2 linked regions of the Arabidopsis thaliana genome follow. The protein of the gene in region 1 interacts with the protein of each later gene in a pairwise test. Each region holds a gene or a part of one and is shown in the gene's direction. Other genes may lie near its edges.

Region 1 (6,573 bases):
TGTACCTAGCGTCACAAGTCCCGAATCTCGAAGAGAATAAGGAGATTAAGAGGAGAAAGTTCAGGGAAAGACATTTCAATGTTAGTCTACACATCTTTAATATTGTAAACGATTTGTTTCTAGGGTAGAATTTGTTTAATTATGAGATGATATAAAATGGTAAAGCGAGGGTCATATTTATAAGTGGAGAAAAAACACTGTTACGCATATGAGAATGAATCTATGATACAGTTAAACAGTTAGATGAGGACAAAAAGCCTTGGAACTCTCTTCCTTTTCAAATCAAGCATGTTTCTACTCATTTGCTATATTTTATTAAATTGACATCAACATCTTTACTTACGATTTGGCTTTGATTTGTTGTTGAATAGGCGTGTTACTTAGAAATTGTTTTGGTCGCTACTAATATCTTAGTGTGTTCTCTAGCATTAGTTCTAATTTTCATGCAATGGCTATGTATTACTGATTTTGAAGGTTTGTGTACAGTTTTTTAGGCGCTAGAAATAACTGATTACTTTCGTTTAGAACAGAGCATAGGTCCGGTCAGATACTTAGCCGGTCTTGGTAAGCTATTCGGTTCAATGAAAACCAAAATCCATGTATCAGGCATCAATAGAAATGGCGAAAGAGTCAAGAAAAGTTGCCATACAGATGTCACGTAAACCTCATCATCAGATAATCTTATTTATGTTTAGTTCCTGAAATCAAGCAACGTAATTTATGTTAAATCGATGGTGTCACTGAATCTTTTAAAATCAAGTAATCCTTTGTTGTCAACTCATATTTGCAAAGATCCATTAATTGCAAGACAATAAGATGCTCGATATTGTTTTCTGTTTATTGTTATAGAGAGCTTAAACCAACATCTGAGGATTTCTGGTTAATTATAAGCATATTAGTAAGGTCCAGTGTATGAAATTAAACTCGTGATCTGAATACACGTGCATGAGTCCCCAGGTAAAAGGATATATAGGCTGCTATAATAAGATTTGCACGTTGCTACGTGTATGGGTGTATGCAGCCCATGCGTGTTGACAAACTTTGTTGAATTATTCTATTTGATTTCATGATCTTGAGAAGCCTATTGCTTACCAAAATTGGAATAACATAATCACTCATTGTAGAAGTTCTTCTAATCTTGTTACTATTTTATTAATTTTTCTATTGCTTTTGGCAGTTGAAAGTTTGATATATAGATTTTGTTTTCAAGTAACTGATTTCTTGTCCTCTTTCTCACAATATCTTGAATATAATAAGTACAAGATAGGTAATGGTACTTTTTTTTGGTTTAAATGAGATAGTTAACGTTGCAACGTGAGACTAATTTTGCAATATTTTGATGGTTTAATCATTTTATATATTATACAGGGGGGAAAAATGTTGGATGGCAAATCGGTGAAGTGGTCATAACTCGCAAGTCACATGAACAATATTTCTAGTACTCCGTAGAATTCGTGTATGTCCAAGTCCAACAACTCGCATAAGACGTAAAATTTGAAAATTTCATCATTGTGTATTCTTAACCCGTGATTTGATGTAACGTTTACTACGTTCGTCTATAATCTAGAGCATTGTAATAGGCGTGTATGATTGAATCATTTTAATAGTGACTATTTGTTTTTGGTCAACTTCTATATTAATGTTTTACATGCATCGTGTTGTATACTTGTATTGCACGCAATTATGTGAATAACGTCAATCGTGTACGAAATTCACTCTTTTGTCGTAACCATTTATTTACAATTGGTGATTCCTATCTAAAATCCCAATTGGCAATTATTTATTACTCGGACAAAAAAATTTAAATTCAAAAAGTGCTAGTTACAGGCCTTATCATTTAAGAGAAAGTATATAGCAAGCCCATATTCATTTAAGGCCCATCCTCGTGTAAGACCACACCAACGGTCGAATCAGACACGACATCGAATAGCGAACTAAATCTTGTCGCTTTATGTGATGACTTGGCGATTTCGTAATTGAGATTTCCTTTTCTGACAAAACAACATTACACAATTTAACAAATACCGAAAAAGTGAAGAACGAGAATCTGTGTACGCCACGCTTCGCTTAACGTTTCATACTCCTCTAACTAGTAGCCGTCCGATTAGTTTCTGGCTTTTCATGACCTAAATCTAACCGTCAATTAGAGAAGCTTACAATACACTTAACCGCAGGAAAGATATTCAAAACCATTAAAAGCAGTCAACACAAATGACGTGAGTCTTAGTAATTCCAACCAAAACACGCCACGTGTGCGGATACTCTTCTTCCTTGAGAGCGCGGACGTCAAAACTAACTATCAACTGAAACTTTGAAACTACCTATTGGGGTCCGCTCTCTCTCTCTCTCTGCCATCAGAAGAAAAAACCAAACACCGAGACAAAACACATCACGAAGAAGAGAGAGATTTGCCATTTTCGGCAAGGAAGTGTTTTATTCTAGGGCTTCTCTAGTTGCTGCGTAGACAAGATGGTGGAGTGAAATTGCGGCGGTGACTTTTCAGGTATGACGGCGCCACGACGTAGTCGGCGATTTACTTTTTGTGTTTGTTTAACTTGTTTAGCTTGACGCTGAGAGATTATGGAACAAAACATCTAGTTTTACAGATTAGGGAGGTTTGAGGTTGTGGTTAACTTTGGATAAATCTATTGTTAAATGTAGAGCTAGGCTTTTGGGAGCTCTTACTTATTAGATCTTATTCACTGTCTCTGTGCTAAAGTAATTTTTGTTCCAATTTGGTTGTGTGAAAGTGATTTAACAAAAACCTATGTTTTGTTTGTGTGTTTGGACTTAACAGATTGACAAATTGAATTAAAGATCTTGAATACATATGGCTTCTGTGGGAACATTACCAGCTTCTTCTATGGCTACAAAACAAAGCAATGCTTCTATATGCGCTGAAAAATTACCTGAAGGGATTAATGAGATGAAGATAAAAGATGATAAGGTTGAAGAACTCAGATTCAATATTGAGATTTAGTCTCTTATTTAATTTGGACTTTATGTTGTTAATAATGTGTTTTTTCTTCTTGCTGTTTGGTGGTTTCTTGTAGGAAATGGAAGCAGCTGTGGTTGATGGGAATGGAACTGAAACAGGTCACATTATTGTTACAACTATTGGTGGTAAAAATGGTCAGCCTAAACAGGTTAGCTTGTTTAACATTTTTGTTTTTGAGGAATTTCCATTATTTCTATGTTAATAGGAAGTTGATAGAAAGATCATTCGCATACATGAGTGGCACACCATATCTCGCACAACTTGTGGTTTCTGTGATGTGTAACGTGTGATAAAGTCTCTTATAGCTCTTTCTTTTTGTCCTTTCAGACCATAAGTTATATGGCAGAGCGCATCGTTGGACAAGGTTCTTTTGGAATCGTTTTTCAGGTGATGTTTCGATTAACTACCCTGAATAATTGATTTTACTAAGTAGCCGGTGCATTGACTCAATGTAGATAATTTTGTTACTTGTATATATGCAGGCCAAGTGTTTAGAAACGGGGGAAACTGTTGCAATCAAGAAAGTTTTGCAAGACAAGAGATACAAGAATCGGGAGCTGCAGACAATGCGTCTTCTTGATCACCCTAATGTTGTATCCCTCAAGCATTGTTTTTTCTCAACGACTGAAAAAGATGAGCTCTATCTCAATCTGGTCCTTGAATACGTTCCTGAGACTGTCTATCGCGTCTCAAAGCACTATAGTCGGGCAAACCAGAGGATGCCCATTATATATGTTAAACTCTATACTTATCAGGTAGTTATTATTCAGCCCACCAGAACATCTGTTCTCATCTTTTGAAATACAATGAGTTAATCAACATTGTTTCCATGATTTCTTCCTTCTGTTGTGGGTGCAGATTTGCAGAGCTTTGGCTTATATTCATGGTGGAGTAGGAGTCTGCCACAGAGACATAAAACCACAGAATCTTCTGGTTCGTATCCTTAGTTGATTTTATTCATAACATTTTATTGGTCTACATGCTTCTGCTTGATCAATCTTGTGCTTCTCGTAGGTTAATCCTCATACGCATCAGGTCAAACTATGCGATTTTGGTAGCGCAAAAGTTCTGGTATAGCATTTGTAAAGAGACATGTTGATTTGTTTTCATATTGAAAAGTTTGCACTTTTTATGGTGCTATGCAATGTTAACTAGTCCTAACTATTTTAGCTTTGCCCCTCTGTAACAGGTTAAAGGCGAGCCAAACATCTCATACATCTGCTCCCGTTACTATCGAGCACCTGAACTTATATTTGGAGCTACAGAATATACAACAACAATTGACATATGGTCTGCAGGCTGTGTTCTTGCTGAATTGCTTCTGGGACAGGTAATATGACTGTCCAAACTTTCCTCCATTTATCTTTTACAAATGATTTGATTTACCGAATGATGTCTAAAGTTATATATTACCAATCTTTGGCTTGTCCAACTTTTGGTTAGCCTCTATTTCCAGGTGAGAGTGGAGTTGACCAGCTAGTTGAGATAATAAAGGTACTTCAATTTGGTTAAACAAACACACATAATCCTAGCCATTGCTATATTGAACATAGAGTGGATCATTGATTATATGGAATGAAGAGGCTCCATTTCCTGCTATTGATTGCCATCATTTTGTTTACTGTGTGTGTTACAGGTTCTTGGAACACCAACACGGGAGGAAATCAAATGCATGAATCCAAACTACACAGAATTCAAATTCCCGCAAATAAAGGCTCATCCTTGGCACAAAGTAAGCAAACACATCATCAGTTTTTCCTTAACATTGATCTCCATATATTCTTACGATTGAAAAATCTGTTGTTGGTTCTTAAGATATTCCATAAGCGTACACCTCCAGAAGCTGTAGACCTTGTCTCAAGACTTCTCCAGTATTCTCCAAACCTCAGATCAACCGCTGTAAGTCAATGAAGTGATTACCATAATAACATTATGTTTGATATATCTGGTTGGTTGATTCAAACTTACTTGTTATTGTAGATGGAGGCGATAGTTCACCCGTTCTTCGATGAGCTACGTGATCCCAATACACGTCTTCCTAATGGTCGTGCCTTGCCTCCTCTCTTCAACTTTAAACCTCAAGGTCTGTCTCCTCCAAATATGCTTTTGTTTGTTTCCCAATGCTCCGTTTTAACAAAGACTAAAAGTGTGTGCTTCTTGTTAAATATGTAGAGCTAAAAGGAGCAAGTTTAGAGTTGTTGTCCAAGCTTATACCTGACCACGCCCGAAAACAATGTTCCTTCCTCGCTCTCTAAATCTCTTCCTCTCTCTCTATATATATGTGTGTGTGTGTGTATGTACACATGCATATAATATGCTTATCGTTTCTAAGTAATGGAGATAGCTTCTCAGGATTATCATTAGCTTTCATCTTTCATGTATCTTTGTTGTTTATTGTCTTATCACAACCTTTGTACTTTATTACATACAATGATTAGTGTAATGTATGTGACGGTCTTTGACTCGCCGGTCGCTACAGTTATGTTGGATACTAAATTATAAAATAAACTTCTCGCTCGTCACGTGTCATTGCATGCATCCAAAGCTCATGCTTCAAAGCTTAGCCAAACTTATTTTTAAAAAAGCCTATGTTCTGTGTAAAAGTGTCATTTACGAGAGTTTCTTGTTTAAGTTTAACCAATTTCACTTCCTCAAACGAAATACGGTAATTGGTAATATCCTCTAAACATGAATTATCATTGACTATAAAAATTAGTTTCGCAAATTGCCTCTAAGCACCACAAGTGTCACGTAACGTGTCATTTATTCATGTTTATTGATTTAGTTAATTAAAAACATTGTAGTTTAATTATTGAAGTAGTACAAAGAATAGGGACTAAATTGCAATACTCTGAATTTGTTTTTTTCTTTTTTAGAATCATCCGACTTTTTGTTTCACGGTTTCCTCCTCCAGTAAACTGACGACGATACAAGCTCTCTCACCAACGGCGACAGTATCTTTGCCGGCGGCGGGAGCGCTTCTGCTTAATCTGTAGCTCAAACTAAAAATTCTCTGGGTATTACTCATGGTGATTTGGAATAACGATGATGATGATTTTTTGGAGATTGATAACTTTCAATCTTCTCCACGGTCATCTCCAATACATGCAATGCAGTGTAGGGTCGAAAATCTAGCTGGTGTAGCCGTGGTAAGTGATCCAATCCAACAGTCATAAGTTTATGCCTAAGCAGAATCATTGCTTATGTGAATTTTTGTTTTGTTTCAGACAACTAGTTCTTTGAGCTCTCCTACTGAGACAACTGATTTAGTTCAGATGGGCTTCTCAGACGAGGTTTTTGCTACATTGTTTGACATGGGATTTCCTGTTGAGATGATTTCTAGAGCGATCAAGGAAACTGGTGAGGCTTTTTTCTCTTGTTTGTATTCCTTTCTGGATATATATGATCCGTAACTTGATACCAATAATTATACAGGACCAAATGTAGAAACTTCGGTTATAATTGATACTATCTCCAAATACTCAGTGAGTTTCTAATACTTTGATCTCTTGGGTTGCTTGTCATTTACATGTGCTTCTGTCATCACAGTATTCATATCCTCTCCTTTGTTTATT
Region 2 (4,390 bases), on another chromosome or scaffold:
CTCTATTCTCAATATTTCCTTGTTTGTCGCTCTCTGTTCTATTTTAGAGAAGAAGAAGAAATGAGAAATTGTTTTCAATTTGAAACCCTAGATTTGGATTATTTTTCCCCAATTCGCAGCTACGTTGTTTTGTTAGTTTGAAAACCCAAAACCGTTAATGTTTATAAATTCACATCCTTGGGTAAGTCTCAATGAAGGTTTTGAGAACAAATGGTTATATATGTACCACCTTTAAAAGGGACAAGGTCGAAGATTCGAAATCCTTGTTTTGCAATTTTATTTTAAGATTTTAACTCCAAAAATGCAAAACAACGTCGTTTATATACACTTCATAATCCACATGTTTGCTGAGTCAGATTTGTAACGATGTTGACTAACACATGTTAGTTTGAATCTGATTTTTACACTAATTATCAAGTTCATGTATAAATTTCAAATAATTGTGCGGTTTGGGTAGTAAATCCTATACTATTAATTGGAGACTACACTCATAAGTTGTCACATTCAAAAGTGTAACAACCACATTAATATGTCATAGAAAAATATAATCATAGAATTTGATCCACTTAATAATCTCACGGGTCTACGGATTCTAAAACGGTCAAGTTATTATTTCTAAAAAAAGAATAACCAATCAAAATGATCATATAAGATTTGATATCTAACTTACCATATTAATTTGTTATTAATTATTATACTTCACCTCACATCTTTTTATCATACTATTTTTGTGAACAAAATAGATCATCATATCATCCATAAAATATAAAAATAAATAGATTTTCAGACTTAGGTAATATATATTCTTAAAAAAAATAATTCAACAAAAGTTTTAACTGACTGACGGGCCAAAATTTATATTCGATTTCGTAGAATTGTTTTTTGAAATAATATTATATACCACCATAATAAAAAAAAAAAATTTTGAACATTTATAAATATTGTAATTTAATATTTTTAAAGAATATCACAATTATTTAATAAATCAAAATTTGAAAAATTGTTAGTACTCTAATTTGATTTTTTAAAATAGATATATTTAAAATATTTATAACAGGTGACATATTTTTTTCGTCGAAAAGATAATTTTATTAATTTAAAACGTCATGATACAATTGTTCACTGGGCCATAATTGCAGGTACATACAATCAGAAAAATAACAAGTAGATCGACATCCCCTTTTAGCTAACAAGTGTGCTGCCTTATTACAACTTCTCTTCGCGAAGCTAAATTCAATTTTTCGTAATTTTGTAGCCCAGTAATGAATATTTTGATGAATTCTAACGATAAATATATCATACAATTTCCCCTTGGCCATATCAATCAGAAATTCACAATTAAACATGTTAAATATAATATATTATATGATAAAACAAGTTATAATGTTTATAATAAACGGTGGGTTAAAATTAGATGTGATGATTTAAATAAGGATTGCAACCTCTAAATATTTAAAATTTTGATTTTGTAAGTAATTTTTTCATTAGAATTCTAAAATGAAAAATACGGTTTCTATGTACGGGCTGAATTTTGTATTATTATATACCAAATATATGTTTATAATATATTCGATTATGCTAAATTATGTAATTAGCTCAAACAAACTTCTATTTCAACAACTAAAAAACTGAAAATTCAGAAATGACTTCCTAAATTAACTCAAAGTAATAGCTAAGTTCCTTAATTAATATATTTTAGATATGGTTCATTTATAATATGTTGACTTTTGATCTAACATAATTATATGCAATCTTATTTTGTGGTTGCTAAATTTTTTTCACTTACTACTATAATATATCAATTTGTTTTTAACAAAAATATAGAAATAAAAATTAAACAAAACTAAAATTTAACCCATGTTTATCCTACCAAATTATTCAGGTATGAAAATACACTTAGCCAACAGTAAAAATATGAAAATACCCTTTTCCTATTTGGTAGACGCAAAAATATCAAATATTATGGTATCATAGAAATATGTTAATTTTAGAAAGATCAATTCAATTGTAGTTGATTTGGAATTAATTTTTTCAAAATGGTAGAAAAAACCATCTTATGATTAAAACATTATGGCGTTTAAATGTATTTTGTGTGTAAATTTAATAACGTACAAACCAAAAGAACTAAACTTATATATATTTTTGTTTGTTTTATGTTTTTTAATATGTAAATGTTTATATATTGTATATGAATTACACAATGTTTGGGACTTTCTGCGCCTACCAGACTCGGAATTTTCTAGTCATTTCAACTGACCTGTTACACTCAATCTTAGCCGTCACTTAATCTCTTACTTTCATCCTAACCGTTGATTCTTCTTTTCCCCGACCCACACGACCTGTCAACTAAAAAAATCTTACAAAAGGCCCATCTTCAAACTTTCCCGGAAAATCCCTAGAAACCTCCAATGAACCATCCACGACCAAATCATTCTCTCCATTAAAATTATATAAACATTTTTGATGTTTCTTCTTAACCACTCAAATAGATGAAGAAATGGCGAGCTTAAGCACGAGCTTGCTCGGAATAAGACGAGGGTCAAGTAACAAGAACAAGGCAGAAGATAAGACCAAAAACGCAGTGTTTTGCAAGAAGCATCCAAAGCATAGACAATCACCTGGTGTTTGTTCTCTTTGTCTTAACGAGAGGCTCTCTCTTTTTATCAAAGCAGCTTCTTCACGTAGACCAAGATCTCGTCAAATCTTGTCTACTTCTTCCTCAACTACTTCCTCTCTTTCATCTGACGGTTCTTCTTCTGTCTCTTCTTGTCCTTCTCCTATTGTTGATCGCCGACGATACTTGTTAATGTCCGGAGGCAGCGGTAGAGGAGAGAAAGTGATTTCGTGGATGACGAAAAGCCGATCCGTAGCTTATAAAGTGGATGATGAGAAAAGAAGGAAGAAGAAGACAAAGACGAATAGTGGTTTCTTTTTTGGTTTGGTAATGGGCACAAAGAAGAGACAATAAGATAGTCAGTCTTGTAGATTTGTTAGATTAGATTGTTCTTGATTGTGTATTTTCTTGATTCTTTCATTTTAGATTGATTGCTACATATAGATGACTAGATCAGTTTGGTGGGTACGTGCAAGTGAGAGAGATTCTTTATACGTATTCTTGTGATTGATTCCCTAAGCTTGTAGTTTAGTGTGGTAACATAAAATGTGATAATCCAGATTTAATATGCGTTGAACATATAATTATATGCGCTAAATCAAGAGATTTGCGAACATGTTTTTCGTTGTTTATTTTCTTGAAAAAAAATATTTTCGTTGTTGATTTTAGTTGACCCCCCAAAAAAATGTTGTCGTTGTAGTTATTAATGTTCGCACACTTACTTGAAAGAAAACTTAGACTTTTCTTTGATGAAACTCGTGAGAATATAAAATGGAAAAATGTCAAAAAAAGCATGAACTTTCAAATTTGGGACGAAAAAAACGTGAACTTCCAAACTGCCAATAAAATTGTAAAGTTTTGCTTGACTTTTGATAAAATAGTCAAGTTTTGTTGACTTTGCCATTTTAAGCATGTCGTTAAGTTTCCGTTAACAAAAAAATAACAGGATTAATTTTTTGTTAGCATTTACCGTTAAAAGCAAAACGACGTCATTTTGAAATTGGAAAAAAGAAACAAAAACAAACACAAGGAAGAATCGAACTAGTGACCTTCTCAATGCTATTAAAGCTCTAAACCATTGAGCCATGTTAACGTTTTAGAAGTATTGTAAACATATATATATATACGTAATAAATTAAAAATAACCAACTAAAATAATTCAATAATAGAGAAAATTTACCCAATCCTTCTCATATAAATATAGGATTAATCTATACATGCACATAGAGTTTCATTCAATTTCACTTTATATATAATTTTATTTATAATAAAACATATATTTGATAAATATTTGATAAAAGATAAATATAAGATCATTATTCCATCTTCAAATCAATTTGTTATTCATATTTAGATGGAAAGTATATAAGAAAAAAAATTGGTAATATATTTATAGGTTCTATATTTCACAAGTTTCATTTTTATATTTTAAGAGAAATTTTTTTAATTCAATACATTTAATAAAAAAAATTACATTATTATTTCGAAATATATATTAATGGTAGGTGTATTTCATATTTTTACATGTTTGGTTATTGTTTTTATAGTTCGGTTATTTTTAATTAGTTTTGCGTATATATACATATATATATATTTCAGTTTACAAAAAAATCAAAACGTTATCGTAGCATATTGGTTGAGCGCTTGTAATAATTCTGGAGAGTCATGAGTTCGATTCCTTCTTGGCAAATATTGTGTAATATATTTTCATTTTGAAACGACGTCGTTTCGCTTCTAACGGAAAATGTTAACGAAAAGTTAACTCCGTTGTTTTGT

What was found.
Region 2: the proteins of SK13 (region 1) and AT1G35210 interact in a two-hybrid assay, tested with the Arabidopsis thaliana proteins (one large-scale study listed by BioGRID).

The regions. Positions count from the first base shown.
Region 1 is NC_003076.8:4,718,030-4,724,602, reverse strand, and holds SK13 (shaggy-like kinase 13), read left to right. Parts: upstream 1-2,231; 5' UTR 2,232-2,503; intron 2,504-2,554; exon of another isoform or gene 2,555-2,622; intron 2,623-2,797; 5' UTR 2,798-2,830; coding exon 2,831-2,947; intron 2,948-3,053; coding exon 3,054-3,146; intron 3,147-3,325; coding exon 3,326-3,385; intron 3,386-3,480; coding exon 3,481-3,753; intron 3,754-3,856; coding exon 3,857-3,931; intron 3,932-4,012; coding exon 4,013-4,069; intron 4,070-4,187; coding exon 4,188-4,328; intron 4,329-4,441; coding exon 4,442-4,492; intron 4,493-4,634; coding exon 4,635-4,730; intron 4,731-4,813; coding exon 4,814-4,897; intron 4,898-4,978; coding exon 4,979-5,081; intron 5,082-5,170; coding exon 5,171-5,253; 3' UTR 5,254-5,609; downstream 5,610-6,573. Other genes in the region: AT5G14650 (Pectin lyase-like superfamily protein), read right to left, coding at 1-94; DRM2 (domains rearranged methyltransferase 2), read left to right, coding at 6,025-6,147, 6,226-6,358, 6,434-6,483. UniProt on the Arabidopsis thaliana protein: May mediate extracellular signals to regulate transcription in differentiating cells.
Region 2 is NC_003070.9:12,895,492-12,899,881, reverse strand, and holds AT1G35210 (uncharacterized protein), read left to right. Parts: upstream 1-2,206; 5' UTR 2,207-2,497; coding exon 2,498-2,968; 3' UTR 2,969-3,300; downstream 3,301-4,390.